Linked DNA regions of Ovis aries. The main gene of each other region encodes a partner of the protein of the gene in region 3 in a complex. Links are inferred from orthologs where the notes say so. Each region holds a gene or a part of one and is shown on either strand. Other genes may lie near its edges. The genes, in order: MAP3K20, PKN1, NOD2 and MAP2K3.

Region 1 (7,188 bases), on a different chromosome or scaffold from region 3:
ACTGTCCACTTACTAAAGAGAGGGCTTTTTCTTGGTACTGGGGTCTGGCCAACAGGCTCTAGATTCCCAGGTTCCCAGTTCCTCAAGACCAGTCGACTTCTTTTATTTAGGTCTGTGTCCTGCAAGCCACGCTTTGACAATTAAGGCTATTTCTCAGGTGCCTCATTCCTATAGGCAGTGTACCCTGGCTTGGGAGGATAAATCATTGCTGTCATCCTAACTGGCTTCCAATATCGGGTCATCCTGAATAAGTGGACTGGCCAGGCTTTGGACTTCTCGTGTTAAAATGCTAATCCGTGGCAGCTCAGAAGACCATCCCTACGCAGCAGCATATGGAGTCCATTCGAGGCTGACTTCCCTCCTCTTGCTGTTGGGAAGGGAATGGCTAGAACAGCCAAGGAAGGCTGGAAACTATTCACACTCAGAGGAACTTGGTGACCCCACGGATTCTCACTAACCCCCCAAACCTTGGGATTACCCTTCATTTCTCTGAGCCGGTTTTCCCTAGTTGCCATATGAAGCCAGTGGTCCTTATCTTTGAGTATTTGCACAAGGTTACTGAAATAACACAGGTGTAAGTTCCTCTTACAGTGTCTAGGTCATGGTAAATCCTTGCTAAATGTTTCTTAGATGAATAAGGGAGTGAATGAATGAAAGGCATGTCCTACTGAGGGTAGCTGCATACTAACTACATGCATACTAACCATGTCTCCATATGTGCCAAGACTGCTGTAACTATTTCCCTCCATTCCATTCCCAGGTAGAGAAAACTAGGGTTTCTCTACCTTGTGAAGCAGATTGTTCCACCACCATGAAGATGTTGCTCTTTTCAAAAGCATAATTAGATCATTTAAAGCAACAGAATACTTAGAACAGCCACCATGGTGTTTACAGTGAGTCCAAACTCCTCACCTCGGCCCCAGGAGGCACTATGCTCGGTCCCGCCCACCTCTCTAGCCTTGTCATGTCCTCTGTGCTTCAGACTTGTACTTGCCCTTCCTCTGCTGTTCCCTGCTGCCTCACACTGAGAAGAGGGGTCTTCCCTGACCACTGAATCTAATGCCCCGAGTCTCACTATTTTCTAATGCCCCAAGTCTCACTATTTTGTGATTCTCACTTAGCACTCTGACATTACTAATTAATTATCTATCACCCTCCACTGGAGTATATATAAACCTTGAGAGAGTATAGATTTAGATTTAGTCCACCCTAATCACAGAATGATAGCATCACCTATTCAATGGACGTGAATTTGAGCAAACTCTGTGAGACAGTAGAGGACAGAGGAGCCTGGTGTGCTGCAGTCCATGGGGTCACAAAGAGTCAGACATGACTTAGTGACTAAACAAACAAATCACAGAATGGTACCTGTTGGTAGGTACTTGCTAAATATATGAATTTTAGTTTTAATAGCACCTATTTCTAAAATATTTGTTTTTCTAAAACAAACATTGTTTTTCTAAAACAAATATATTGTTTCTCTAAACCAATATTTCTAAAATATTTGTTTGTACATCTTTCAATTTTTTTCATATATTAAATATATGGAATCTGGTTTTGATGGTAGTAATAGAAGTTGTACCCTGTCCTTGTGAAGACTCACTCACTGATCTACCCTCACCGTTAAACTCGAAGCACCAAGAAGGCAGAGCTTTGTTTGGGACCCGAAGCATAGGCTTTCTTCATTACTCATTTATCTTAATGTAGTGGGGAATGACCCACCCACCCCCAGTTTCACTGCGCCCACAATGTTGCTGGGTATCCTGATACAACCAGAAAGCAGAGTGGCTATGAAACCTCTAAACCAGCCACTGCCTGCACTCATTGTTCCATATCCCTAGTATGTCACACACGCATCCATTTGTATTCAGAAGGTGCTCAATGATTAACTGATTAATGAATTACTCCTTCAATCTCTAGGTAAGCACCCTGTTCTCATTCCTTTCATTACTTTGTTAGAATAATTATATTGATCTCCCTATATTCATGTTGGTTAAATAGCTTCTCTTCCAATAAACGCTAAACACCCTGAGGCAGCAAATAAAAACCCCTTTGGAGAAACTGATGGTGAAGCCAACGGCCTTGCCCCCTCTCCCCTACCCTTTACCCAGGCTTACCTCATATGTGACAGTGCATTCTACAGTCTGATTTTCCATTATTCCTACAATCCACTTCTCCATTACAAATGGGGGCTGAAAAACAGAAGTTAGAAAGGTGTAGTGCTATAGTACGGGCTTTCCTGATGGCGCAGCAGTAAAGCAGCAGCCTGCAATGCAGGAGACACAGGTTCAATCCCTGGGTCGGGAAGATCCCCTGGAGAAGGAAATGGATACTCACTCCAGTCTTCTTGCCTAGGAAATCTCATGGACAGAGGAGCCTGGCGGGCTACAATCCATGGGATCACAGAGGTCAGACATTGAGACTAAACAGCAACAACAACTGCTTTAATACAGCCTGCCCTGCTACAGCGTAGGTTTCTTGGAGGCCAGTCATGCTGTACACAGTTGGTAAGTAGGGTGTGATGTCAGGCTATCATGGACGCCATGATGTCAGATTATTAGAAAAGCCCTGTTGGTTCCCATGTGATTACTCACAACATGCTAATGTCTGATCTTTGGGGGTTTGGTTTTCATAAGACATCCTTGTATATGTTTGTAAACAGCTAATCTTGTCTCCCACAATCTTCTCTTTTCTCATGCATCTCTCAGTTGTATCATTAGATCATTAACTCATGATTGTATCTGGAAGACTTCTCAGAAAGCTTTTTCACAATTAAGAAAAATCCTTAACAATCTAAGAAGACCCTAAAGTGCTTTTTCTGAGTGCAGGCAGTGGCTGGTTTAGAGGTTTCATAACCACTCTGCTTTCTGGTTATATCAGGATACCCAGCAACATTGTGGGCGCAGTGAAACTGGGGGTGGGTGGGTCATTCCCCACTACATTGAGATAAATGAGTAATGAAGAAAGCCTATGCTTTGGGTCCTATTTTAAGTGAGATGAAAGTGGTCTTTATTAGAGGTGAATCTCCATACTTTCTTCCCACCCCCCAGCCTGTCATTCCAGATTTAAGGTTGCAAATGACTGGCTGACCATGAGATGGGTACAAAGCAAATTTGGTAGAGATTTAACTGAGATTTTTTTTTTTTTTTAAGATGAGAAAACAAAGAGAAGTTTATTAGCATTTATACCTCATGTATACACGGGAAATACCCAGGGAAAAATGAGTAATTCAAAGAATTCAGGATTCAATGCCATGTTTATAGAGGAAAGGGAAGAGGGAGACATAGGCCCCTTGGAGGAGAGAAACTGATTTTTAGGAAAGACTATGGGCCCTTAGAGGAACAGATGGGAGGCAAGAGTTAGTGACAAAATTTGTCTAGGTGTGGAGCCAAATTCTAGTCTCTCCTGGGACAAGAATCAACCTTGGTATTTTTTTCTTTCCTTAATTAGGATTTTTTATTGTTTCCATTGATGCTGAAAAGTCCTACAGATTTTGAATGGTCCAGCCCAGTCCTATTTTTCCCCATAAGCCTTGTTAATGTTGGTGCATGATTTTGCAGAAGATACAGTTCCCCTGGAATGCATATATAGCCTTAGAGCAGAAACACCTATGTTAGTTTTATAACTCCACCCTGTTATTTTTGCTCTGAGTGACTTCCTTCCGTTAGCAGGCAGTGACTTGCTTCTCAGTGACAGTGAAGCCACAAACAACCGGCGGCAACCAGAGACAGCACAGGTGGGGAGGAAAGAGAAAGTATGTGTGTGTCCAGGCTCCCAGACACCAAAACATAGTCTGTCCCAACGGAATAAGGGAAAGGTGAAAGCAGATCATAACCTTTACAGATAACTAACATAACTTTTAGTACACAGGGGCAATCCAACAAAGAATATCAAGTCAATCTACCTGCATATGCTTGTAAATTAAAAGTGAAAGTGTTAGTTGCTCAGTCATGTTTGACTCCTTTGCCACTCCATGGACTATAGCCCGCCAGGTCCTCTGTCCATGGAATTCTCCAGGCAAGAATACTGGAGTGGGTTGCCATTTCCTTCTCCAGGGGATCTTCCCAACCCGGGGATTGAACCCTGGTCTCCTTCATTGCAGGCGGATTCTTTACACTTGGGTGGTTAGCAATCTCGTGCCTGGGAAGGGAACACATTTGCAAGTCTAATGCTGGGGATTTGAAGGCTCTTTTCACTTCCCTCTTTTTGTCTGCACCCTGGCTTGTTGCTGCCAGCCTCATTTTCTTCCCTAAAACCAAATACGCAATCAATCGTGTAGTAGAGTTCATGCCTTCTGTGACGTTTAGGGTAACTGTCCTGTTGACATCGTGGTTATTTACCTGAGTGGTTGACCTTCTACAATTGAAGTCTTATATGTATGTTTTCAGTATGATTATTTTGAAGAGAAGCTAAGCATTTCTCTAAGTCTGTCTTTAGCGTTTTAATGGGTGTGCTTCTACTATTGACCTCACAGTAGTAAGATACTGTCCGGTCACTCCAGGAATTCACAGGGGTGAATTCAAGGAAACCATGAAGACTGCAATATGTGCCTTTTGAATAATCTCATCCCAGTACTTCCAGAAATTCAAGAAATCTTTCTCCTGACAAGTTTTTTAAAGTTTAACATGACCCAAAAATTCAAGGTAAATATTTTCATCATTAGCATTTTCTTTTCTTTCATAAATGACAGAATATGCCTAAAGAAATGTAGAAGAAAGTTAAAAAAAAAATTAAACGACACTTTTCTGTAGTACTTTTTGGTTCACACAGCATAAGTGGAATTTTAACAAAAAACTATTATGATCTCAATCTGCTAAATAAAATGTGCCTTTCAACAGCCAGCTTGAAGCTGAGCTGGTATGAACATCATGAGCACAAAAGCATACCACTGGGGTATTTTAATGTCTTTGTTTGATATCTGTGAATTCAAAAAAGCTTTTAAGCCGTAAATAGAACCCTACCTTTGTCATCTTTAAAATCTCTGCATCAGGTAGGTTAGTGTTGAAAGTCACATCTTTGATGTAGGTTATTGCAATTTCATCCCCATCCATCTCCATATACATTTTCCACTTACAGTCCTGGAATTAAAAGAAAAATTATAGAATTTGAGAAAGTAAAGCAGTTTTTTAAAAAAATCTCAATGTTTTATAACACATGAAGTATTCTCAATGAAGTATTATTGGAATTTTTTCCCCCTTATCAGTAAAAGAATGTGAAATTAGATCTCATTCTATACATAAATAACCCCCAGGCGGGGCAGTCTTGAGACGCCATTTACCTCTTCTAAGTGTTCTATAATAGGAGTTGCAAACTCCACACCTTAAAGGGGCCAGGCAGATAAAAATGAGTAAGGCAGGCAGCTAAGAGCCTTAAATTGTAACCTTTCAAAATAGACCCATTTAATTTACATGCTAAACATTGTAGGGATATTTCCCCACTGACACAAAGCAATGTGGTCTTCCCACTATTTTGAAATATAAGACTCTCTTGATCTACCTTTCACTTTCCCAGTATTAATAATGACACAGATTCAAGAAATAGCTTCATTTCTTCTTAACAGGAAATGTGAGGCTATATGGCAATGGATAATTAGCCCAACCATTGGGTTAGGCATTAGGGGAAGGGTTCGACTCTCTGGGGATCTAAAGGGTAACTGCCCTAAAGGGGCAGCCACCGCTCATCTTCTGTTGATTTTTCCCATGTGGGAATATGAGCCTAGTCTTGACAGGTCCTTAAACGTTTCATAAAAAGTTGGATATCTGATTCTTATAAGAAACCTCTTGGTTTTTAAAATATTAGTACATTAATTAAATTTTCAGTAAAACGATGATGTAATGAAAAAGTGCTCTACAGCATTAATCACCAGGGGAATGTAAATTAAAATCATAATGAAATCCCACTATACATTTACCAGGTGGCTAAGACTGAGAACATCAAATGTTGGTTGTGAGTTGGAGCTATTGGATTGTTGGTGGGAGTGTAAATGGTAAAAATCACTGTTGGAAAAGTTTTGGCAATTTATTACATAACTAACCATATATGTACTCTATGACTCACAAATTCTACTCCAAGTATTTACCCAAGTGAAATGAAAAAAGACTTGTATGGTATTCTTCTGAGCAGCTGTATCATAATAGCTAAAGAAAACTGGAAACAGGCCAAGTGTTGATCAACAGGAGAATGGATGGACTGTGATATTTTCATAGAGTGGGATATTACTTAGCAATACAAAGGAATGAATTATTGATACATGCAACAACATGGATAAATCACAAAAGCATTACAGTGAGTGAAATCTTGTATAAGAAAAAGAACAAACTGGGGCTTCCCTGGTAGCTCAGAGGTTAAAGCGTCTGCCTCTAATGCAGAAGACCCGGGTTCAGTCCCTGGGTTGGGAAGATCCCCTGGAGAAGGAAATGGCAATCCACTCCAGTATTCTTGCTTGGAGAATCTCATGGACGGAGAAGCCTAGTAGGTTACAGTCCACGGGGTCGCAAAGAGTCAGACACGACTGAGCGACTTCACCTTAACTTAAGGCTTCAATTTACATGAATTTCTAGAATAGACAAAACCAACCTACAGTGGAAAATATTCAGAAAAGTGGTTGCTTTCTGCAGATGGCAGTTGACTTGGAAGACACATGAGGGGAGTGTCCAAGGATGCTAATGCTCTACTGATAGGAGTTTGGATTATATTGTTGCTTAGTCATTAAGTTGTGACTGACTCTTTGCGACCCCCTGGACTGTAGCCCACCAGGCTCCTCTGTCCATGGGATTCTCCAGGGAAGAATACTGGAGTGGGTTGCCATTTCCTTCTCCAGGGGATCTTCATGACCCAGGCTTAGAAACTGCATCTCCTGCATTGGCAGGTGAATTCTTTACCACTGAGCCACCAGGGAAGCTGAGCTGGGTTATAAAGGTGTATGCATTTGTTAAAACTTAAGTGTGTATACTTAACATGTGTGCCTTAGGAGAAAATATACTGATATCTACATGTTACTTTAAAATGCATCAAAAAATAAGGATTGATAGATGGCAAAGGATAGAGAGATGTAACAAAACAAGTAGAATAAAATGCTTCTGTTTTCATCTAGGAGGTGAGTATGCAAGAATTTCTATACCATTTTTTCAACTTTGCTTTTAGAAAAATGCAGCAATAAAAATGTTGGGGGACAAACACTATGTATGC
Region 2 (7,951 bases), on a different chromosome or scaffold from region 3:
CCCACCTTGGTGCTGCCGTTGCTATACGTCTGGATCATGTTCTCTGCCCCCTGCTTCACCTTCAGCTCGATGGCCAGCTGCTTCTCCAGACCGGCTACGCGGCTCAAGTTGGTGGCTGAGCAGGCAGAGTCACCTGTGCCAGGGGACTGGGGGGCATCTGGAGGGGTGGATGGGGCAAAGTCACCACAGCCCTCCTCTCCAACTGCCCAGGTGCTTTTGCGCCAGCTGAGAGGATCCACCCCAGGCCTGTGAGGAGGAAGAGCTGGGGGCCACAGGGTCCACTCCCCACCAGCCCTCATAGGGAAACCCTTTCAGGGCTGGGGCAGGACCAGTGTGAATGAACACAGGTGTGTGTTAGTCGTTGGTGTGATCGTGTATACCTTTGTAGAGAAGGTATATACACCCCAAAGATGTGCAAGGCTGTGTAGGCGTCAGCGGGTGTGGCTGTGGTTAAGTCTGTGACCTTCAGGGTGCTGGCATAACTGAGTGTGTCTCCCCAGGTGCCAGTGTAACTGTGAGATGTGAGGTGTTAGAATGCCTCTGTGAGATTCTGGGTGATGGGGATGGCTCTGTGCACGTCTGCAACTGTCAGCAGAACTGAGCATTCAGATCTCCTGGCGCTGGTGTGACAGCATCCGAGTGCTGGAACAGCTGGACATGTATGTCTCTGGACAGCTCTGTGTCAATCTCCAGAGAGTGGTATGACCATCAGAGGCACTCTGGGTACAGCTGTGACAGGATGAGGTTTTGAGCGTTGGCTGAACTCTTTCATTATCTTCAAGTGTTGATCCAATAGTGTTGCTGCTGCTGCTAAGTTGCTTCAGTCGTGTCCAACTCTGTGCGACCCCACAGACGGCAGCCCACCAGGCTCCTCCGTCCCTGGGATTCTCCAGGCAAGAACACTGGAGTGGGTTGCCATTGCCTTCTCCAAGGCATGAAAGTGAAAAGTGAAAGTGAAGTCGCTCAGTCGTGTCCGACTCTTAGCGACCTCATGGACTGCAGCCTACCAGGCTCCTCCATCCATAGGATTTTCCAGGCAAGAGTACTGGAGTGGGGTGCCATTGCCTTCTCCGTCTGATAGTGTTAGCCTCCAGCTATTGACACACCAAAGAGGTGTGTGGGTGTTGGGCTAAGTGATGCTGAGTCTCAGGTCTTGTCCAGTTGACTGTGTTAAGTATCAGGCTGTTTATGGGTTGGTAAACTCCTGTGGCAGCGGCTCTGTGTGTCTGAATCTCTGGGTGTTGCTGTGAGCGTGTGTGAGTCCTCAGGTTTTGTGTGTGTGTTGGTGTGATTGCGTATGCATTTATCTGGGCACTGGCTGGCAGTATGGACGTCTCTGGGTATTCACAGAATAATGCTGCTACTGTTTAGTCACTCAGTCACGTCCGACTGTTTAGCAACCCATGGAGCGTAGACGGCCAGGCTCCTCTGTCCATGAGATTTCCCAGGCCAAGAATACTGGAGCGGGTTGCCATTCCCTTCTCTGGGGGATCTTCTCGACCCAGGGATCGAACCCACATCTCCTGCACTGCAGGCAGATTCTGTACCGCTGAGCCACAGGGTGGGCCCTCAGAGTAGTCTGGGTGCTGGCGTGACTGTGTGTGAGGGTCTCTGGCTACTGATGTGATGTGTGTTACATCTTTTAGTTGTAAGATGAAAAAGTTCTGCAGATTCCTTGCACAAAAATGTGAAAATACTCAACACCACTGAGCTGTATGCTTAAAAATGATACGTTTTCTGTAATGTGTTTTTTTCCAAAACGTTTTATTTTATATTGGAATATAGGTGATTAAGGGACTTCCCTGGTGGCTCAGTGGTAAAGAATCTGCCTGTTAAGCAGGAGATGCAGGTTCAATCCCTGGGTTGGGAAGATACCCTGGAGAAAGAAATGGCAACCTACTCCAGTCTTCTTGCTGAAAAATCCCATGGACAGAGGGGCCTAGCAGGCTGCAGTCCATGGGGTCACAAACATGGGGTCTAAACGGAAGCAGTAACAACAGCCAACTAACAACGCTGTTATACTCTCAGGTGTTGTGTTTTTTTAATCACAATTAAAAAAATTTTTTAATCAGTTGGAGCCTATAGGTGTTGTCTAGGTGTGGGTGTGATTGTGACTGTGACTGTGGATATTTGTGTGATACCGTGTAAACCCTTTGGTGTTGTCCAGGTGTGGGTGTGACTGTGACTCTGGATATTGGTGTGATACCGTGTAAGCCCTTTGGTGTTGTCCAGATGTGGGTGTGACTGTGACTCTGGATATTGGTGTGATACCGTGTAAGCCCTTTGGTGTTGTCCGGGTGTGGGTGTGACTGTGAGTCTGGATATTGGTGTGATACCGTGTAAGCCTTTGGTGTTGCCCAGCTGTGGGTGTGACTGTGTGTACCTTTCCCTGAGTGTTGGTTTGGGCCTTTTGTCTGCCTGTATTGGGGCCTCCCAGGTGGCACTACTGGTAAAGAATCCGCCTGCCAATGCAGCAGACGCAAGAGATGCAGGTTCAGTCCTGGGTCGTGAAGATGCCCTGGCGAAGGAAATGGCAATCCACTCCAGTATTCTTGCCTGGGGAATTCCACTGGACAGAGGAGCCTGGCGGGCCACAGTCCGCAGGGTCACACAGAGTTGGACACGACTGAGCACTTGTCAGCAGTGATAGCAGCCACCTGCATTTTCAGGTTGGAAGCTGCCGTGACCGAGTGTGTCTCCCTGGGAGGCAGTGGCAATGGGCTGGCCGGCCGCACCCTGGGACACAGTGGGTGAGCCCTGGGCAGTGGAGGCCCCCAGTCCCGCATCCCCCACCCCCCAGCCCAGGGAAGCCTGGCTTACCGTGCACGCCCACCGCGGGGTCGGGCAGCACCACGTGGGCATGCAGCTCCTGCAGCTGCTGGTGCAGCAGGTCAAGCCTGCGTGAGGAGCCGCGCAGCACCAGCTCCACGGGACCGAGGTTACGGCCCAGGTCAGTGGTGGCTCGCCGCAGGTTCTCTGCACCCTCCTTCAGCTTCAGCTCCTTACGGATCTCCCGCCGCAGACGCTCCCGCTCCAGCTCCAGCTGCTGCTGTACCCCAGGGGCTGCCAGGTCGGCACCTGCCAGGCCCAGCTGCTCCAGCAGGGACCAGCTGCGTGGCTCACTCTGCGGGGGACGGAGCAGGGTCAGTGGGGCCAGAGCGGCTCTGGCAGTGCAGACCACATTCAGCTGACCTGGCCCGGCCTCCTCCTGGGGGGGGACTACTGACACAGGCCCTGCTCCATGTCCTCCGACAGTCCCCCAAAACTGGGAGGTGAGACAAGGCCCTGTGCCTGCTTCCTGACACCTCCAAACTGTGAGGTCCCAAGGGCAGGGCCTTCTCCTTGCCTGTCACCTCAGACAAGAGGACCACAGGTACACTTCAGTCTTCCCTCACTGTCCTCATGCAGTGGGATCCTGCAGGGCAGATTCCATTGCCCCATCACTGGGTCCCCACAGCTCGGGGTCCCCAAGGTCAGGCCCTAGCTCTCCTTCCACTGTCCTCCCAAATTAGGGGGGCCCAAGAACAGGCTTTGTCTCCCTCTGTTGCCCCCAAATGACCAGGTCCTGAGGGGAGACCCCCTCTCCCCTCTGCTGCCCCCCTAAACTAGGAGGTCCCAAAGGCAGGCCCCATCTCTGCTCCCTTATGCCCCACGTTAGGAGGGCCTGAGGGCAGCTTTCATCTTCCTTCTGCTGCTCCCCAAATGAGGAAGTATCAAGGGCAGGCCTGTGATGCCCCCCAGACCACAAGGTTGGGGTTCCAAGAGCAAGTTCCTTCTCCTCTTGGCTGTACCCTTGAACTAGGAGGACCTAGGGACAGGCCTCATCTATTCCCTGCTGTAACCCCAAACTAGGAGGACCCAGGGCCAGGCCTTGTCTATTCCCTGCGGTAACCCCAAACCAGGAGGGCCTGGAGACAGGTTTTGTCTGTTCCCTGCTGTACCCCCTAACTTGGAGATCCGGGGGCCAAGCGCCATCTCCCCTCCTTTTGTCATCTACAACTGGGACCCCAAAGAAAAGAGCACTGTTCCCTTCCTCCTCTATCCCCCCAACCTGGAAGCTCAAAGGGCCCCAAACAGTTTCATCTTTCAAACAGAAAACTCCAAAGCCAGCATCCCACCTCCTCTCCTCAGTCCAAAACCAAGCGGTACCGAGGGCAGGGCCCCTCCGGCCTGTGCCACTTGGGGTCCTCTTCTGCTGCCCCTCCCCCACAAGGACCCCAGCCCCCACCTCCAGCTCCGGGTCCAAAGGGGGATCAGCCTCCGCCATCCTGGGCCCCGGCTGAGGGCCCCGCCCTCTTCCTGAACCTCAGCCCTGCCAGGGCCTCTCGCCTGCTACTTCCTCTTTCCTGCTGGCTCCCAGCAACCCCTGCGAAGGCCAGCTCTGGGGCTCTGGGGCATCAAGAGCACCTTCCTCTCAGCCCCCACTCGAGGGCTGAGCCTGCTTCTCTGGGGTCATCCCAGGGGTGGCCCCTCTGCTCCCTGTCCTGAGGATGCCCAAGGTGTACGCAGCAGGCACACACACACGGGCCCGCTAGTGTGGACATGAAGAACAGCCTTCCCCACATATAGCTTCCCTACAACACACTTATACACCTACAGGCATCACAGGCTGGCCAGTGTGTGCCCACCCCCCACCCCCTGTATATACTTATATACACCAACACCCACAAGTGCTTACATGGGCGGGCCAGCCCCTTTCCTGTCCCAACTTCCGGCTTCTTCTCAGCTTGGTTGCCTGCTGCTGCTGACCACAGCTTGGAGGCCTGGGGGCCCGGCCGGCCCTGCGGTACCTCCCTGAGGCCCACATCATGAGGAGACAGCTCTGCAGGGCTGGAGTACCAGTGTCTCCACTTAAGCTCAAGTATGATTAAGAACCATGGAGGTTACTACAAGCTGCACACCAGGTCAACTAACGCCATTCCAGGAGGTGCTACTATCACTCCGTTTTCCAGATGAGGAAACCGAGGCCTGGGGCGGTGACCTAACTTGCCCAAAGCCTCATAGCCAGCAGGAGACAGAACTAAGATTTCCAACAAGAGTGCCCAGAATCAGAGCTAGTTGTCAGCCAGGCAGGAAGAGCCCCGCATATATTATCTGCCGCCACGGTGAGACCCCATTTCAGAGATGAGGAAAGTCAGGGTTCACTCTCGATCAACTTCAAGGGCAGCTGCCCCCAGAGAAGATTTACTTCAGGCCTAAAGTGTCACTCCCATGATCCTACTGACCCCTCAATTTTATCCTGAGCAGCTGCCATATTTCCCCTCCTACTTTACAGGTGAGGAGACTGAGCCTCAGAGGGATGGCAGCAGCAGTTCTCAATGGCGGAGGGGATTGCCAACACTCCCACCTCACTTCTGGGGGCAGCTGGCAATATCCAGAGCCATTCTGGGTTGGTTGTCATAACTGGGGCTGCTACTAGGCTCTATGGGGTTGAGTTCATGGAAACTGCTTGACATTCCACTGTAAACACGAGAGCCTCCACCTCCAAGAATGATTCAGCCCCAAATGTCAATAGTGCTGAGCTTTAGAAACCCTGGATTAAAGGACACAGACTCACACCCTGAGCTGCTGGCCATGACCACTGGTAAGGATTTCACAGCAGCCCTACCTGCAAGGGGCTGACCTGGTCTACGTCCTTCCTCACCGTGAAAACTCTCTTGGCTACATTTTTTTTTTTTTTTCAATTTTGACGGCAGAAACCAAGGCTCAAAGAGGGAATGGCGCTGGGCCTAGGACACACTGTGACGAAGTGGCAGCTCTGGAATTTACACCCAGGGTCACCTCCTACCACCTGCTATCAACCAGGTCCCACCGGCCACCCAGCCCCACCCTGTCCCCAGCAGGCAGAGCAGCGGTGCAGCCAGGAGCGGGGCCAGCTTGAATGAGGGGAGTCCGGGTTTGGGGGGAGGAGCAGAATCCCTCAGCCCCACCTCCTCCAGCAGCTGAGGGATGAGAATATGCAAAGGAGGGAGAGAGGGAGGCTGGGCCTCCCGGGTTCTCCTTCCTTGGATGACTCACTCCTATCCAGGGCAGGGGTCACCTGAGGGCCAACGAGATGAACCCATGAATCAGGAGCCTGGCCTGGCCTTGGGGAATCCCCAACACCCTCCAAGAAGCAGAAAACACCTCCCCTGCCCCAGGTCCAGAGGGTCCACTTCTCAGAAATTCCCTCTTCCTAGAGTGACCAGGGATCTAGACCCCATGTCCGGAGATTTCAATGCATTGGGCGTTTCTGGAATCCGGACAGGACATCCGTTTGCCGGACACAGAACAGACAGGCACACACACTGGGACAGACAGAGGGACAGGGGTAGCAGACCCAAGCAGCCACGAGAGAGAGAGGAATGACTAGGACGGGGTGAGGGTGGTGGTGGGGTGGGGTAGGGGGAAGAGAGCAGGCAGGAGACGGGAAAGGGGACCAGGGCGCAGGTCCAGCCTCGGTCCAGGAATCACAGTCTCCGTCCAGGCCATGTCTGCTACATGCCAAACGCATGCATGTGCCAGCGGAGTCCTACACTGTCCTCCCAGGGCTGATGGGGTAGAGGCAGGGACCCAGGCCCTCCCCAGCCCCCAAGGTCTGACCTTGTGTGATCGGCAACACCAGATACGCCCAGCTCCTCGGCAAGGCTGGCAGGCCATCAGCAGGACTGGGGCGGGGGACAGGGGGTCACGGGGGAGACACAAAGGGGATGTGGGGGCAGGTGCAGAAGGAGATGAGAACCCAGTTACACAGCAACCACAGGACGATGGAGAGCTGATGAGGCACTGTGGGGGCACCGGAGGTACAGGACATGTCTCAGATTTGGGTCACTGACCCAGAGAGGTTTCAGCAGTCATTCTGGCCCTGCTTACCACAGGCAGGGCAGGTGAGTCCCAGGCTGCGATGTCCACAAGGTGGCACAGGGAGAACCTGGGTGGGTGGCACTTCGGTGTCAGTCACCTGTGCCTCTGTGTGTGTTGATGTGTGGGTTGTGGGGTGACCCAGTCCAGGCAGGATTCCAGGTAAGAGAATCCCCAGTTCATTGACATGGACACTCCCCACCCGGAATCCTGGGATAAGGTTCCACCTGGCAGCCGAGTGGCTGGCTGTGTGGGTCCCTGGTCCCCAGACCTAAAGAGGTGACTCTGGCACTTCCGCCAACAGGTGCCAATCTGCAGCGTCGCGACCATCGTAAAGCTCAGTCCGGAGGTGGGGGTGCCGCCGCCGGAGCTTTGTTGTGCGTGGGGGAGGGTGGGAGAAACGGGGCGAATGGCCTGCGCCCTTCCCGGGGCATCGCGCCAGGCACCTGCTCAGGTGGAGCGGCACCTGCCGGGGAACCGAACGCTGAGGAGAGGGAGCGAGCGGCAGGGTCGACTGGCACCGGGATGCCCAGCTAGCCACAGACACCCGAAGTCGAGCCTCCGCTGCGCCCCCTCTAATTCTCAGAGAAGGGCGGAGCTGGGGATGTTGTAGGACTCCCCTCGCTCCCCCACGCTCCCCCGTGCGTACCTCCACCTGCCGAGGAGACTGCGCTGGCTCCACGGTGCTGGCCCTGGGAGGGGGCGCCTAGCGCTCGGGGGAGGTGGGGACCCGCCCTGGCCGCCCCGATCCCGGGAGCGCCGGCGGTGCGCGGGCGGGGGTCCCCAGCGCCGGCTGGCCGCTGGGCGGCTGCGAACGCAGGTGCGCCTACCTGCACAGCGTCGCTGGCCATGTCCACACGCAGCCCGCCAGGGATCCCCGCGCGGAGGGAGGGGCGCTGAGAGGAGCGCGCGTGCGCCCCGCGCGGGGCGGGGCGGGGGGCGGGCGCGGCGCGACGCCCCCCGCAAGGCGCAGGGCCGGCTCCGGCCTGCTCGGCTCGGGCAGCGCCTGGCCTGGCCGCCGAGTCCGCGCGCCGCGCCCTCCGGCCCCAGCGGCCGCCGGGCCCGGTCACGTGACCACCGAGGTCGGCGCCTGGGGAGGGGGCGGGGCCGA
Region 3 (7,188 bases):
CAGATACTGTTACTTAGCTTGCTTAAGATCACAGCAGGACTTGAAGCTCAGCCTGCTGGACTCCAGAGTCTGTGCTCTGAACTATTATATGCCATGGAGGAAGCTCACAAACCAACAGACCAATCATACTGGCTTGAAAAATTCAATGAAAAGAATTAGCCAGGCTCTATAAACTTCATGCCACTTAGGACAAAGACAAACACAATCACCCAATCACTCAGTCATCCATCTTTGTCTTATACACACATCAGCTTCCACAGATGAGGCCAGAGAATGAAAAAAGGCTGGTGTCTGCTTCCCTAGTGAAATGAATCCCCTAAACTCACCAGAGTTCTTCCAGGGCCATATTCTTTTCCAACATCAATGCTAAGGCTTGAGCACCCACGCTGCCAATGTTGTTCCCCACCAGGCTGGATGTAGTCAAAAAACAAAAATATGTCAGAGCAGTGAGGGACCTCAAAGATAACTCAAGGAGGGCAAAATGCACGGCACACATTGCCACAAGTCCTGGTCTGCTCCATTTCAGACTAATCCTTTGCAGTGCTCTTTCTCATTAAGTCCAGAAGCAGTTTTTTAGAATCCTTCCCAACATGGTTTGCTGAGCAGCTCCCACTAACAGACTGGAATTGACTCTTGAGATAAAGTGTAGCTGATCCAGGGCTTCCCTGGCGGCTGAGTGGTAAAGACTCCACCGGCCAGTGCAGGAGACACGGGTCCAATGCCTGGTCTAGGAAGATCCCATATGCCCTTATGACACTATTGAGGCTGTGCTCTAGAGCCCACGTGCAGCAACCACTGAGCCCGCGTGCCCTAGAGCCCGTGCTCCACGACAAGAGAAGCCCCCACACTGCAACCAGAGAGCAGCCCCCGCCCTTTACAACTAGAGGAAAGCAACCCTGCACTGCAACCAGAGAGCAGCCCCCCGCTCTTTACAACTAGAGAAAAGCAACAAAGACGCAGGACAGCCTAAAGGAAACAATGATTTTTAAAAAGTGTATCTGGTCCAGAGCTTCCCCAGTGGCTCAGTGGATAAAGAATCCGCCTGCAATGCAGGAGACACAGAAGATGTGGAAGACCCAGGTTCAGTCCCTGGGTTGGGAAGATCCCCTGGAGGAGGAAATGGCAACCCATTCCAGTGTTCTTGCCTGGAGAACCCCATGGTCAGAGGAGCCTGGCGGGCTACAGTCTATGGGATCTCAAAGAGTCAGAGACGACTGAGCGACTAAACTATCTGATCCAGCCCAAGATCTTCTGAGTACAGACAGGGAATCAAGACTCCTGAGAGGAAAAGGGATCCAACGTCACCCAGCAAGACTCCGGTGTCCTGACTTCAACTCCAGTGCTCTTTCCTTCTCATCCCGTTATCTAACACAGTGGGGTGAAAATAAAGTTCACAGACCTTCAAAACTGGCCCAAGCTCCTCCCTCCTCACACTGGCTTCCCCCACCAACTGCAGGACGAACTCTGAGGCTTACCTGAGCCACCTCAAGCTCTGGTGATCACCCAAAGCTGCAGCCAAGGCCTGGGCCCCCTCGTCACCCACCTGGTTGCCCCAGAACCTGAAAGGTTCAACAGAATAAACAGTGTCAGTGAGAACCTGCTTTGTGTTCAAGACACGTGCCCCTCCTCTCTGCAGCCCCAGGCAGAGGAGCAGGACTCCCCAGTCCCAGAAAGGTCTCAGGGGGACTCAGGTCCCAGCAAAGTGAGCCTGCCTCCATCTTTTTGGAGGGATGGAAAAACTTCAATTAGACTTTTTGGTTTCTTTAAATCAGACTTTCAAAATAGTTAGAGGCCCACCCAGTGCATATTCTCAGGGATGGGGACTCATTCTCAATGCCAAGTCACAGTTGTGACATTTTCCGACATTGGGTTAGACCTGCTTGTGCTCACTGCCACCCAGGAGTCCCTCGCTATCTCTAGGACCACCCAGAAGAAGGCGAACTCTTCTTCCAAACACTAGTTCTTCATCTCTTGCTCCTCTGTTATATCCCCAGTTCCTTCAGAGCCTCCAGTTCCTTTGGAGCCTCAAGCTCCTTCACCTTCTGGCTTCTCCTCCTCAGACCCACCCTAATTGGGAAACACCCCCTTCAAAGATGGAGCCCAGCTCATACTTTGGCACCTGGCCATTTCCCATGTGGGAAGTGAGGATGGACCCGGAGGTGCCCACATGGGCAGAGAGGACTGGGATGCTCACTGCACTTTCACTCATAAGGTGAACACTTACTGAGCTCTGGCCCCATGCCAGCACCACTCTACACTCCAGGGTGTGACACTGTAATAGCAAAAACCTGCCCACAACCTAAAGTGTGCATGACACCAACTAAACACATCACGACATCAAACCACTGGAATACTGAGCAGCTATTCTTTTTAAAAGTGAGGTCATGTGATATGAACAAAATAATACAGTGTTATAATACAGTATAATAATACAGTGTTAAGAAAAAAGCAAGTTACATAACAGTTTGTATCACGTGATAGTGCTTGAGGGTTTTAGCACAAGACCAAGACCAGACAGGTACCTTCATAAACAGGTGTTGAAAGCTAAACACCCCAGATGTGATCTCAAGAAGGAAGGAGCTCAGTGGGGGCCGCGGCCACCCTCTCCTAGACTCTGTGATGCTACTAATGCATTTTGGACAAGGTCTTATCTCTCCAGCAACACAGTCCCACTCGGGGCTCAAACACAGCCCACGGGCAACTTGCCTGTCTGTAAAATGAGTTGGAACACCTAGGCTCTAAAGTCATTCTTCCTACAGTCTTGGGTTCTAAAATCCCCCCCTTTTTTTTTTTTGTTTTGTTTTGTTTTCAAATAGACCCTAGTTTACACCAGGGCAAGATGGAACAGGAAAGAAGCTCCAGGGGACTGGACAGGTACAAGCCTGTCTGCCCAGCAAACAGAGAAAGCCCCACTTGGGGCCCGGAGGTCTGTGGACTGCCCTTCCCGCCTGTGTCCGACCCCTCTCCCCTGCCTGGCATGACCCCACAGGAAGCCAGGGCTCTGTAGGACCTGGTGCAGCCTCCTCCCATCCAAGGTCCAGGGTCCAAACTTCCCCACTTCCTTCTCTCCTTGGCTCTCACCCCAGGCTGCACATCATCTGGTAAGCTTTTTTACATTACTGATTCCAGACCTTGCATGTAGATAATTCATTTAATTAGCCTGGGGCAGATAGTGGCCTTCTTCAGGAGCCCAGTGGTTCCCACATATAGACCAAGGTAAGAAACACAGCTCCAGCGCTCTGGAGGACCAGAGGGCTTCCTGCCACTGCTCTGGGCTCTGCCCTCCCCCAACCCTGACATCCTGAGCTTCCTGTTTATTGAGCAAAAAGCAAGGCAGAGGCAACAAGGGCTGCCCACGCTCTCCCTCCCCATTGCAGCCTGGGCAGGGGGTGGAGGCGAGAGTTGGGGGTGGAGGCAGGAGGGGGGGTGGAGGCGGGAGGGGGGGTGAGGGGGTGGGGGTTGTCTCGGAGATCTTGGGGCTGAAGAGTTGGTTTCACAGGCTCCTAAATCCTCACAAGCCCTCAACCCCTGCGTGCTGCCCCTCTACCCTAGAATCCCACCTACCCCAAAAACTGCAAGGAGTTGTTAGTTCTGAGACCCTGGGCGAGCACCTCGGCTCCCGCGGCTGTGATGTGGTTGTTTCCTAGCCTGGAAGGGAAGACAGAAGAGAGACTGAGACAGAGAGCGGGGCAGGAGGACCCTTACTGGGCCCCAAGACCCGGGCCTGGGGAGGGGGGTGCACAGGGAGTGTGGCCCAGGCAGAGAAACAGGGACCAGTCCTCCAGCTCCAGCTGGAGACGCGGCGTGTGCTGCTGCAGCTCGGGGGCTCACTGAATGCTCCTGCGACTTCATTTTCCACCAGCAAGGGGAGAGGCATGCAAGGGCCTGTTCTGCAAAGCGCTGTGACAGGTAGGAGCAGGAACCACGACAGTCCAGGGAGGTGGCTTCCCCAGGGAGGGAGAGTGACTCACTCCTCCACCCTCTCCTCTGACTGCGGGCGGGCGCTGGACCCTGCTTTCCTCCCGCAGCCTGCCCCATCCACGGTGGCTGCAGGTGGCATCTACCTGTTTTGAAAGTGCCTGGGGGGTGGCGCTCTGGTGGCTGAAAGAAAGAAAGGGATCCTGCTAAGCCTTCAGGCAAGGGCGGAGGAGGGGGTTTCGGCAAAATTCGGGCACCTCAGAGAGTTTCAGGGAGGTCCCCGGAACTCTCACCCACAGCTCCAGGCTTCCTGGAATAATACTGCCAGTTTCATCTTTCAAAGAAATTTCATTCACTTTAAGCTGACAGACCTCTGACCTTCCTGGGTGACCAAGGGCCCCAGCTGCTGTGCTGGCAAGTCCAGTGCTCCCTCTGCCCCAAGGCCTGCTTCCCACGGGCTGCTCCCAGCCCAGGACTGGGAGACCTGAGCCTCCTCTGTCAGGCACACTGGCTGGAGGACTCCCCAGCAGCCTCTGTCTTCTCTCCAAACTGCACTGGGGTCCAAGATGCTTCCTCCTGACAACCTTCCTTCCCTCTCTCTCTCCCTCACGGTCAGACCTGCGGCTCTCCCAGCCTCCCCCTCCAGCTCCCTTTCCCAATTTCCCCCCATAGGGATTTCCCCCAGCAAATCCTTCCTTGGAGGACTGGACAAACAGGATCAACACGCTGAGAACTTATGTGATTTATCCACCATCTCTAGGGCACTAAGTCCACTATGGAAAGAACCTGGGATACTATGCCAGCTTTCTATGTATATTAACTTGTTTAATCGTCACAGGGCTTCCGCGGCAGCTCAGCTGGTAAAGAATCTGCCTACAATGCAGGAGACTCTGGTTCAGTTCCTGGGTCAGGAAGATCCCCTGGAGAAGGGATAGGCTACCCACTCCAGTATTCTTGGGATTCCCTGGTAGCTCAGCTGGTAAAGAATTCGCCTGCAATGCAGGAGACCCTGGTTCGATCCCTGGGTTGGGAAGATCATCTAGAGAAAGGAAAGGCTACCCACTCCAGTATTCTGGCCTGGAGGATTTCATGAACTACAGTCCATGGCATCAGAAAGAGCTGGACATGACTGAGCAACTTTCACTTTCTAATCATCACAACTACCTATGAGCTATGAGCTGTAATTACTTTCTCCATTTCATAGAAGGGAAAACAGAGACACAGAAAACAGAAGTCACTGTGAGGATTCAGGTCTCAGGGATGCTGGATCCAAACCTTGGTCAGTCTGGCTCCAGGGCCCTGCTCTCAACTGAGATGCTATACTAACCCAAAACACAGACCTCTCAAGTTCTGGGAGCAGTACCTTTTGTTACCCTACAGCCCTCCCTGGAGGTTGCACCAGCCCAGCTCTGGCCACAGCCGCTCTTGGCTTCCTGAGCTGAGGGTGGCAGGTGGTGGAGGCAGAAGAGAGTCCTCAGTACAGAATGGTGCCTCTGGTGTTGGCCTCAGTGGCCCTGCCCGAGACGGAGTCAACAATTTTAAAATGGCAGCTCACCCCCAAATGCATGGAAGCAATTCTTCACTTTGAAGCTGAAACTCCAATACTTTGGCCACATGATGTGAAGAACTCATTGGAAAAGACCCTGATGCTGGGAAAAATTGAGGGCAGGAGGAGAAGGGGGTGACAGAGGATGAGATGGTTGGATGGCATCACAGACTCAATGGACATGAGTTTGAGAAAACTCCAAGAGATGGTGAAGGTCAGGCAAGCCTGGTGTGCTGCAGGCCATGGGGTCACAAAGAGTTGGACACAGCTTAGCGAATGAACCACCACCACCCTGCCTCATAAACCCAGGAGGCAAGAACATCTCAAAGAGAAAAAGAAGCTGGGCCAACCCATGGACCAGCTTGGGGGATGATGCAATGGTGTCAGATGGGAAAGAGATTCCCCTTGAGGCTGAGAGGGTGGGGAGCAGCAGAAACTCAGCCTTTCCAGACTAGAAAGTGAAGTGTTAGTTGCTCAGTCCTGTCCAATTCTTTGTGATCCCATAGACTGTAGCAGACTCCTCTGTCCACAGAATTTTCCAGGCAAGAATTCTGGAGTAGATAGCAATTTCCTACTCCAGGAAATATTCCCAACACAGGGACTGGAGCCATGTCTCCTGCATTGCAGGCATGTTCTTTACTGTGTCAGCCACCAGGGACGCTCAGCATTGGACCCACCTTTTTTGGCAACTAGCTGCCTCTGTGGCGGCAAGTGACTGCTGCATTCCTACCCCGACCCAATGCATGCTGAGTGTACCATCAAGGAATGGATCACCCCAGACAGCCAGTGACACTCTGAGACACAAGGAAGAAAAAAGGTCCTGGAAACCCTCTTCAGTCCTGGGGGCTAAAGGTCAAACAGCAGGAAGCCTCAGCAGCGATGGTCCAGAGTTTGCTGGGGAGGTCATAGCATCAGTGAAGCCCTATTCAGAACGAGACACTGTCCTTGTTTTCAGCGAGGTAAGGTCATATGCCCATTACGGGGCGAGACCAGACCAAACTGACTCAGCTGTGGGGACGAAAGTCTCCAGGAGTAGGGAAGCCCCAGGCTCACCTCAAAGCCAAGAAGTTCTGCTTGCACGCAAGGAGCCTGGCCATGGAGTGTGTGCAGCCATCGGTCAACTTGTTGTTGAACAGACTGGAAAGTTCCAAGAGAGAAGAGACATGGAGATAAAGCATAGTGGACAGTGACCACCCCAACCCCGGTCACTGGCTCCCTCAGGAGTCCCCTGTGCCCTCTGGCCATGCAAACATCCCAGCCCATCACTCACTCACAGTTGCTGCCCAGGCAGCATGGCTTGGGCTGAGTCTGGGGACACGGGGCCCAACGTCCACAGCCTGACTTACGCTAACTTCTGCAGCTGCTCACAGCGAAGAGCATGTTCAACCAGCTTGCAGATGCCTCGGTCTGAGATGTTGTTATCTCGCAAGCTAAACAAAAACAAAATAGAGAAATCTGAACACAGAGCCAATGAGAGAGGGAAAAAAATGGACAAAACCCCCTAAGAGACTTTTACTTAACCCCGAAGTGCCAGCCTCTGAGCTTCTGGGAAATGCCACAAGGACAGAGCACCCCAGAAAAGTGGACACTCCCCCGTGCCCGGCCAGGGTGCTAATGTCATGCACTTGGTGGGGTGGAGGGCTTTGGAAGTGGGGATCGAGAGTCTCTACTGAAGAACACTGGAATCCTTAAGAAGGCCCTACCTAATTGCAGGCACTGTTTTC
Region 4 (7,913 bases), on a different chromosome or scaffold from region 3:
AGTGCCCTGCCTGGCCCTGAAGGGGCTCTGCCCACTGAGCAGCTGGCCTAGGAGGTTCCCACTCTCCTGACTCCTGGCCCCACATGCCCCACACTGTGGGGGAGGCAACCATCCCATTCTCTCTGCTCCCCACGAGCCCTCCCCAGGAGGGCCCAAAAGGCCATGAAGCTCCCGGCTCCAGTGTGGGGACCAGAGCCTGGCAGGTGCCAGCTGCAGCCAGAGTCGTGTCATAGGGCTTAAAGTCCACCATCAAGGTCCCTGTTCTGTTTGTTCATCCACCAACGAACAACTGCCACCACCATAACAACGAGAAAATAACAGATGACATTTGTTTGACAAACACTATCTCCCACCTTTACCACCACTCTGAGATGGGGGGTTGGTTACTCTCACTTTGCAGAAGAGGAGACTAAGGGTCAGAGAGGGCACTTGAGGAAGCTGGGAAGCAATGGAGCGAGTCAGAATTTGAACACAGGCCCATCCACCCCTGAGCCCAGGCTCTGCCCCCCTTCCTGTCTCACTGAGGTTCCTCGTAGACAGAGGGCAGTCTCTGCTGTCCCTGTACCTGGTACTAGCGAGGGGGATGAGGCTGTCTACACACATCCTCACAGCTGCCAGCATGCAGGGCTCCCATACCCATTCTGCAGGTGAAGAAGCTGAGGCCTTGCATCTGAGAGCTGGGCAATGCCAGAGGACTGAAAGCATTACAGCGGGCAGTGGACGTCCAACATTACAGTGGAGGGGTTGGGCTGGGATCTGACCAGAGTCTTCATCTCTGTGGGAGTTCAAGGCACCTCTGCTCCTCTGCAGCCTGGAGCCCCCAGCTGCACATCTGAGCAGGAGGAGCCCCTGGGCCGAAGGCGGCAAACAGTCACCACCACCTGCTCCAGCTCCATGAGCAAGAGGAAGTTCCTGGGGGGATGGGCGAGGGGCCAGGAGCAGGGGTCTGGAGCCACCCCGTACCAGGTCCAGGGAGGGGGCTGCCTCCACGCCCAGCCCAGGACCAGAGGCCGGCCCATGAGGTGGGGACTCAGCCCCTCTCCCACCCACCAGCAGCCAGGCATTGGCCCTTTAAGCTGCAGCCGGCAGGCTGGCATGCCCCAAGAGTGAGTCAGTGCCCAGTGCCCGCTGACTCACCCGCCGGAAGCCTCCCGCTGCCCCGGCCCTCTCCCCGCACAAGTGGCTGAGAACTTTGCTCCCTTCAGGCCCTGAGCCACAGGCTGGCTGATAGACAGTTTCCTGTGCGTCATGCCAGGGGTGGGGAAAGTCCCCAAGATGCCACCTTCCAATCTTTCCAAGAGCCAGGGACAGGACGGGTAGGGGAGGGCAGCCACATGGCAGGAAAGGCCAGGACACTGTGCGCCTGCAGCCTCAGTGTGCCCAGGGGGCAGCAGGAGGATCAACCAGGAAGTGCCCATGGGGTCAGCACTCACAGTGCAGCTGGGGGCACCCCAAGGACAAATGTGGCTGGAAGCAGCAGACCCAGACTGTGCTATGCCCTCTGACCCTGGCTGCTTTCAGCCTCTGACCCCGGGCAGAGATGGCCTGTGGGCAAGGGGGCCTGGGAAAATATCAGGGCTATGGGGCCTGGGGCCTCATGCACTCTTGGAAACTCCCCAGGCCAGGGGCAGGGAAGGCAGGGCAGGGCACCCCTGCAGGGCAGGAAGCTCAGAGGTAAAGTTCCCTAAGGTCAGGTGCCAACCACACCCTGCTTGGTCCAAATTCCTCAAGAAGGCGTGAAGGAGGACATCACTATGGGAGGGGCTAGGTCGAGCCACTCCTCCTGTCTGACCTCAGTTTTGTCACCTGTCAAATGGGCCTCACTGCAGTGAGCATGAAGTGTGCCAGCTGTAAAGGGTTATGCACACATAAGGCACCATCTCTGGCTCAGGCCATCCTCCAGGTCAGGCATGGACTCAAGGAGATGCTTCTGGACAGAGGTGTGATGGGGGAAGGGGAAGTGTCCCACCAGCTCAGCCCAAGCACCCAGCACAGAAAAGGGACACAGGGGAGCACTGGGCACTGAGTACTAGAACCCCGCCTCCATCTGCCACAGCTGTGTGACCTCAGGCAAGGCACTGAAAACCTCTGAGCCTCAGCTTTCTTGTCTGTGAATGAGGCTGTGAACCATACATGGGTGAATGCATGGCACATGGGAAAAGTTTGGGATTTTCGGGGGAAGGCATTGTGGCTTCCCTGCCACGTGTTGCCACAAACCCCAAAGAGGTTAAGGGTGTCCCTGGGCCTTGAGTAGACCCCTGACCCTCCATCCAACCCACTCAACATCATCTGTTATCCAGACCCAGAAACTGGAAACTCATCCTGGCCCTCTCTCTGCTGAGAGGCTCAGAGAAGACAATACCAGGGCTCAAGTCACACAGCATATGAGTGTTGCCCCAAAGTGCTTTATTCCTTCATACGCCTGACTACTCTCCCTTCCAAACCTTGCAACTTTAATTTTTATTTTGATGAGGAGCAGAAAGGGACTTCAAAAACAAACACTGCTTTGAATCTCTTCTTTCTGCCCACGAAAACCCTGTGGCCCAGAGTGGTTGATGGACCTGCCTGAGGTCTCACAGCCTGGCCAGGCTAGGCCTAAACCTGGAGCTGGGGAAGAGAAATGTCTGATTTCCCGGTTCCCAAGCTCCACGAGGTCGGCGCGGTGCAAGTCCCTGCCGTGTACTCACAGTAGCTAGGCAGCAGTCAGGGACCCAGCCTCCCACTTAGGTTAAGACTTAATTACCCTCCACCTGGCCTGCTGGGCTCGGGTCCACAGCCACTGCAGCCACCAGGAGCAGCAGCAGGGAAGGAGGACCCGCACCCGCCCTGTGACCCCACAAGCGCTCCAGCTACCACCCCGGCCCCACCCAGAGAGGCAGGGGTAACCCCTGATTAGGGTCCCTAAGGGCCAGCTGTTACCTTTCTCCTCCTCACTCTGCAGCTACAATCCAGGAGAGGCAAGGCCTGGATCCCACATGGCTGGGGCCTTTCCAGCAAGAAAAATGGTAACAGTAACACAGTCAGACTGTCTGCTAAGGCTTCTCATCATCATCACCCACAATTGCCTAGAACTCTTTAGTATTCACTATCTCACATCCTACGCCTGAAGTCCACGGAAGGTAGGTGTGATAAGGACACTCTTGCTGCTGGCGTGAAGCAGCAGGTTAGGGAGGCGGGGGCAGCCCATTCATTACTGATGCGTCCGGTTTGGAAATCTCTCACAAAGTCCAGCCCTCTGAGACTCTGACATGCCAAAAACATCCTTTCCTTTTCCTGCCAAAAAAAAAAAAAATCCCCCTCTCACCCTCCAAGTCTCGTCCTCCCCCTCTGCATGACAAATCCTGCTGCCGCAGCCGCCACCTCACAAAAATTTCCAAGAAGGCCGGCTGCTTGGAGAAGACAAAAGCAAGACCATTGCATAGCCAGCAACCGCCCGGCAGTTGGCCCTGGACCCACAGACAGCGGGGACAGACCTGGTAGCAATCAACCCTGCACAAGAGGAGGTGAGCTCCCCTGGTGCAGAGAGAAGCCTGCAAGTCCAGATGAGCAGAGCCAGTGGAGAGGCCATGCAGTAAGGTGTGATGGGAGGCCAAGAGAGGTTCCCCCTCACCGAGACAGGGCTGAAGGACGGCCAGGAATGGGGCCATGGTGGGGCCTACTAGGATGGAGAGCCTTGGGGGAGAGGTAGGGGAGATCTGAGCTGGACTGTAGCCAGGACACCCACATGGGAGGAGGCGTTTACAGAGAGATCCCCAGAAGGGCAGTTAAACCCCAGCCAGCATACAGCCCTGGGACGCAGGAGTGGAGCGCGGCTGGGTGCAAGATGGGAGTGAATCCCACCTGGGACCCAACTGAGGGACCCAGACTGGGAGTGTTCATTCCTGCCCATGCTGCAGTTAAGGCCCAAATGGGGAGGTCCAAGCAAGGTTTCTGACCCGGTGTGGGGTGATCAGAACGAAACCTTCGCCAGAGTTCGGGCTGGGCCCGAGACCGATCAGGGAGGGGTTCCAGGCCGGGAAGCTGCCCGGGTGCGGGCCCGGCCAGGAGACCGCGCAGAGGTCGGGTCCGCAGCCCGGGCGTTCCTACCTTTGGACGTGGGCACGCCGGCGGGCGGGCTCGGGGCAGTAGACTCCATGGTGCGGGCGGGTCCGGGCGGCGGCAGAACTAGTCCAGGGGGTGGCGGGCTCGGCCCGGGCGGAGTGCGCTCATGGCTACAGGCAGGCGGACGGCCCGGGCGGCGGGCAGGGCGGCAACAGGGACGTGTCCGCGGCAGGCGGCGGGGCCAGACTGGGCAGTGCGGCAGGGCCCCAGCCGGACTGCGCCGACGTAGGCCCCGCCCCGCGAACCCATTGGCCCTCCAGTCTCCGGGCCCGGCCCCTGCCTATCAAACGCAATCCGGGGCCTGCCCGTCAAACTCAAGCCTCACCCTCCATTGGCTCGGGGCGCGGCTCCTCCCACAGACTATCAAGCCCGCCCCTCACCGGGAAACCCGTCAGGCCCCGCCCCTCGGGGCTCGGGCGGGTCCTTCCCGCTGCCGGTCAGGAAACCAGCCCAGCCCACTCCCGGGCCCGCCCCGGGTGCGCAGGCTGCAGTGCCCAGAAACCGTGGGTACCCCAGGCCCGCCCAGCTGCGGCCCGGGGAGCGGAAAAGTGGGTGCTGCGGGCGTCAAAGTGCGCCCGCCCCCTGGTGGGGTCGAGATCACATCCCGCTTTGACTACTTCCTGGCCAGGCTGACCTGGGCAAGTCGTGTCACCCCGGAGCCTGTTTCCGCGTCCCCGCCTCCGGGCGCTGCTGAAAGGAAGGGACCCAGGCTTCCGCAGACACTCAGAAGGTGTTTGTTGACTATTCATTCCGGACGGACCAGCCCTCTCTCCTGCTCCCACGTGGAGCCTGGGGGATTTCAAGAGCCACTCACCAATCTGGCACTGGGACCAGGTCACTAGAATGAACAGTCTAGCAGAGGTCACGAGGTCAGTCCCTCGCTTAACGTGGGCGAGAGTGTGTCACCTGCCAGGCACCTCACGTGAGGGAAGCAGATTCCACCACCTCCTAGAAAGGCTTGAAGCCTTCTCGTTTGTAAGATGAGGTGGCCATAGGGCCCACCCTCACAGTGATGAGGAGGCCCGATGAGATAAGGTGAGGCCTCCTTATTATCATTATTTCCTCCTGCACCCGGGGCGTGGGCAGAAAGACAGGAGCTATGGACTCAGCAGGTTATGAGTTCAAATGCCAACCGTGCCACTCAAAGGTGGGTGCTGAGCATCTCCATGCCTGCTGACATACCTGTGCTACAGGGACAGGGCAACCTCTCTGAAATGGGTTCATGAGTGTGAGCTCACAAGTGCCTGGCTTAGGGCCTGGCACTCACTAGATGCCCAGCAAGTGTTTGTGAACTTCCTATGGGAAACTGACCCGGGCTCACCACTCCTGGGTGTCTGGAGTGGCCCAGAGCACTTGGTCCCAAATGGGTCTTGTGACCTTTGGACCTGCTGCTTACCCACCTGGAAAATGGGCAACAGCACAGACACCTCCCCACCAAGACTGCAAGCCTGGTCCGGTAGGTTTCCTGGATTCAGGCCCCTGCCAACCGCTGGGACTTGTGCTCCCCCCGCACTGTTAGCGGGTTCTCAGTGCTGCCCCTTGTACCCACGAATACCGGTCCTACCATGAGGCCTGCGCCTCTGCTGTTCCCTCAGCCTGATACATCTTTTCCCCCCAGCCTTCCACCATGATTCCTGGAGCTGGTCCCTTTCATCCCGTAGGCCTCCTCTTTTTTTTTTTTTTTTTTTAAGATTTTTTGATGGGATCCATTTTTAAAGTCTTTATTGAATTTGTTACAATATTGCTTCTGTTTTACCTGTTGGTTTTTTAGCTGGGAGGCATATGGGATCTTAGCACCCCAACCAGGGGTTGAACACTTGACCCCCTGCAGTGGAAGGTGAAGTCTTAACCACAGGGCCACCAGGGAAGTCCCCTGCAGGTATCCTCTTAAATGAACTACCTTAAGAGGCCTTCTGGCCATGCACCCAAATCAGTTGTATTCCTCTGCACAGCACTGACGCCACCAACACCTTTCCTATTTCCTCTGGACCGTCAGACCATCCTGGGCAGGAATCTTGCCAACTTGCTCTCTGCAGCACTCCTGTTGCACAGCCCAGGGTTGTGGACATGTTATGCTATGTTGCACAACCCTGTTCCACATAGTAGGTGCCTAAAAAATATGTGAGGAATGAACAAAGGAAGCATGGAAAGCATGCCGCAGACACTGGAAGCAACTCCTGTCCCAACCCAGCCTGCTCCTATGGCACCTATGACTCAGACGAGGCCTGCCATTGCAGGAGGTGACGCTTAGTCAGGGAGCCTGACATACAGCTGGAGAATCACAAAACTCCCTGTGGGCTGCTATAAATAGACATGTGAACAAGGTGCCAGACTCCACCTGGGTGAGGTCAGGAAAGCTCCTCAGAGGAGGTGACTTTGAGACTGGGCCTTTAAAAACCAGGAGGAGCTCATCAGGTAGAGAAGCCAGAAACAGAGGGTTGGAGCTGTGCAGGGGACCGCCTGTGAGAGCCCAGCTTGGACGCAGAGCTCCCTGGTTGCAGCCATGGCTGTTGGCCTCCCTCTGCCTCTAAGCAGCACAGCAAAGCTGGGTCTCCCCGACCACTCAGAAGCCAGGAGGGACTTTGGACAGGGTGCCTGTAGCAGAAAATAAGTCCCCAACACCCTTCCATGTGGACTCAGAGAAAGGGGTGTAGCCAGATCAGGATGTGGGCCTGGAGGTGGGTTCAGGGTGGGGGGTGGGGCTGGAGAGAGGATGGCTGAGCCCAGGATGGCGGCCCTCTGGGAGGTGACTCTTGAGGGAACCCCACAAGCGAAATGGCCAAATTAGATTATAATCGCCAGGGGATGTGTTCCCGGTAAAGGAAGGAAGAGACCGGCGGGCCTCTGGGGGCGGGGCTGTGATTTTAGAGACGGGGGAAGAGCCTCACTGCAGCTTCAGGAGGGGAGGGAGGGGAGGGAAGAGCACCCCAGGGAAGGGAACGGCGTGTGCAAAGGCCTAGAGGCAGGCGCCCTGCTCACTCACGCCCTCGGCCCCCTCCCACTCGCAAGTGCACACGCCCCAGATACACATGCATACAGTCGTGAGTACAGCGGGATGCACAAGCGTCTACCTGTCCGCGGAGCGGCCACTCAGGCTCAGGCACGTTCACAGACACTATCCGCACTCACTATCCACACTCGCATACACACACTCACACACACGCACGCACGCACGCACGCACGAACACACAGCCCTGATGCAGCAGGGCATCCTCAGCTTGCGCCCACAGTGCCCTCTGGTGGCCAGTCCTGGCATGGTGGCTGGACCTCAGCTGGTCACTCTGTGGAGCCCTGGGCACTGCCAGGACCTCTTCTGCCCCCTCCCCGTGCTTCCTGCCCCCAGTTCCTCCGCAGCAGCCAGAGAGCCTTACAAAACAGGGCTAGCCAAGAACGCTCTGACGCTCATCAGAGAACCTCCCCAGGGGTCTCCCAGCCCCAGCCACTCCCAGCCCCAGCTCTCCTCCCTGAACCTTCCTTTGCAAAGGCTGTTCCCTTAGCTGGGAATGCCCTTTCCTGCCTTTTCCACCTGACTCATTCCTACCCCTCAAGGCCCAGTTCTGAAACAGGGAGGGGAGGCTCTCCCTGACACTGCCCCCGAGGGACCCCAGCTCTGCCAGTGGCTGCAACCCCACCTGCATCTCCAGCAGAATTGAGCTGCTCCAAGGTGGGGGCTGAGTTCTTTCTGGCTAGAAGTGGTGCTTTAGGGATGGAAGTAGTTACCTTTGAGCCTGGAAGGAGATGGGAGCCTCTTACTCAGGGTCAGGCCTGGATGCTGCAGTCTACACAGGAGGAAAGGTCATGGGCGGGGATGC

The links.
Region 1: NOD2 (region 3) and MAP3K20 share a complex: the UniProt entries of both Homo sapiens proteins name them as parts of the signaling complex. The link is inferred for Ovis aries from reciprocal best matches to the Homo sapiens genes NOD2 and MAP3K20.
Region 2: NOD2 (region 3) and PKN1 share a complex: the UniProt entries of both Homo sapiens proteins name them as parts of the signaling complex. The link is inferred for Ovis aries from reciprocal best matches to the Homo sapiens genes NOD2 and PKN1.
Region 4: NOD2 (region 3) and MAP2K3 share a complex: the UniProt entries of both Homo sapiens proteins name them as parts of the signaling complex. The link is inferred for Ovis aries from reciprocal best matches to the Homo sapiens genes NOD2 and MAP2K3.

What each region holds. Positions count from the first base shown.
Region 1 is NC_056055.1:136,652,722-136,659,909, forward strand, and holds part of MAP3K20 (mitogen-activated protein kinase kinase kinase 20), read right to left. Parts: intron 5,079-7,188; coding exon 4,962-5,078; intron 2,193-4,961; coding exon 2,118-2,192; intron 1-2,117. UniProt on the Homo sapiens protein: Stress-activated component of a protein kinase signal transduction cascade that promotes programmed cell death in response to various stress, such as ribosomal stress, osmotic shock and ionizing radiation.
Region 2 is NC_056058.1:9,645,048-9,652,998, forward strand, and holds the start of PKN1 (serine/threonine-protein kinase N1), read right to left. Parts: upstream 4,282-7,951; 5' UTR 4,268-4,281; coding exon 4,229-4,267; exon of another isoform or gene 4,119-4,228; intron 3,125-4,118; coding exon 2,821-3,124; intron 158-2,820; coding exon 6-157; intron 1-5. UniProt on the Homo sapiens protein: PKC-related serine/threonine-protein kinase involved in various processes such as regulation of the intermediate filaments of the actin cytoskeleton, cell migration, tumor cell invasion and transcription regulation.
Region 3 is NC_056067.1:18,633,200-18,640,387, reverse strand, and holds part of NOD2 (nucleotide-binding oligomerization domain-containing protein 2), read right to left. Parts: intron 6,895-7,188; coding exon 6,811-6,894; intron 6,602-6,810; coding exon 6,518-6,601; intron 3,649-6,517; coding exon 3,565-3,648; intron 1,560-3,564; coding exon 1,476-1,559; intron 411-1,475; coding exon 327-410; intron 1-326. UniProt on the Homo sapiens protein: Pattern recognition receptor (PRR) that detects bacterial peptidoglycan fragments and other danger signals and plays an important role in gastrointestinal immunity.
Region 4 is NC_056064.1:34,993,473-35,001,385, reverse strand, and holds the start of MAP2K3 (dual specificity mitogen-activated protein kinase kinase 3), read right to left. Parts: upstream 4,290-7,913; 5' UTR 4,136-4,289; coding exon 4,087-4,135; intron 1-4,086. UniProt on the Homo sapiens protein: Dual specificity kinase. Is activated by cytokines and environmental stress in vivo. Catalyzes the concomitant phosphorylation of a threonine and a tyrosine residue in the MAP kinase p38.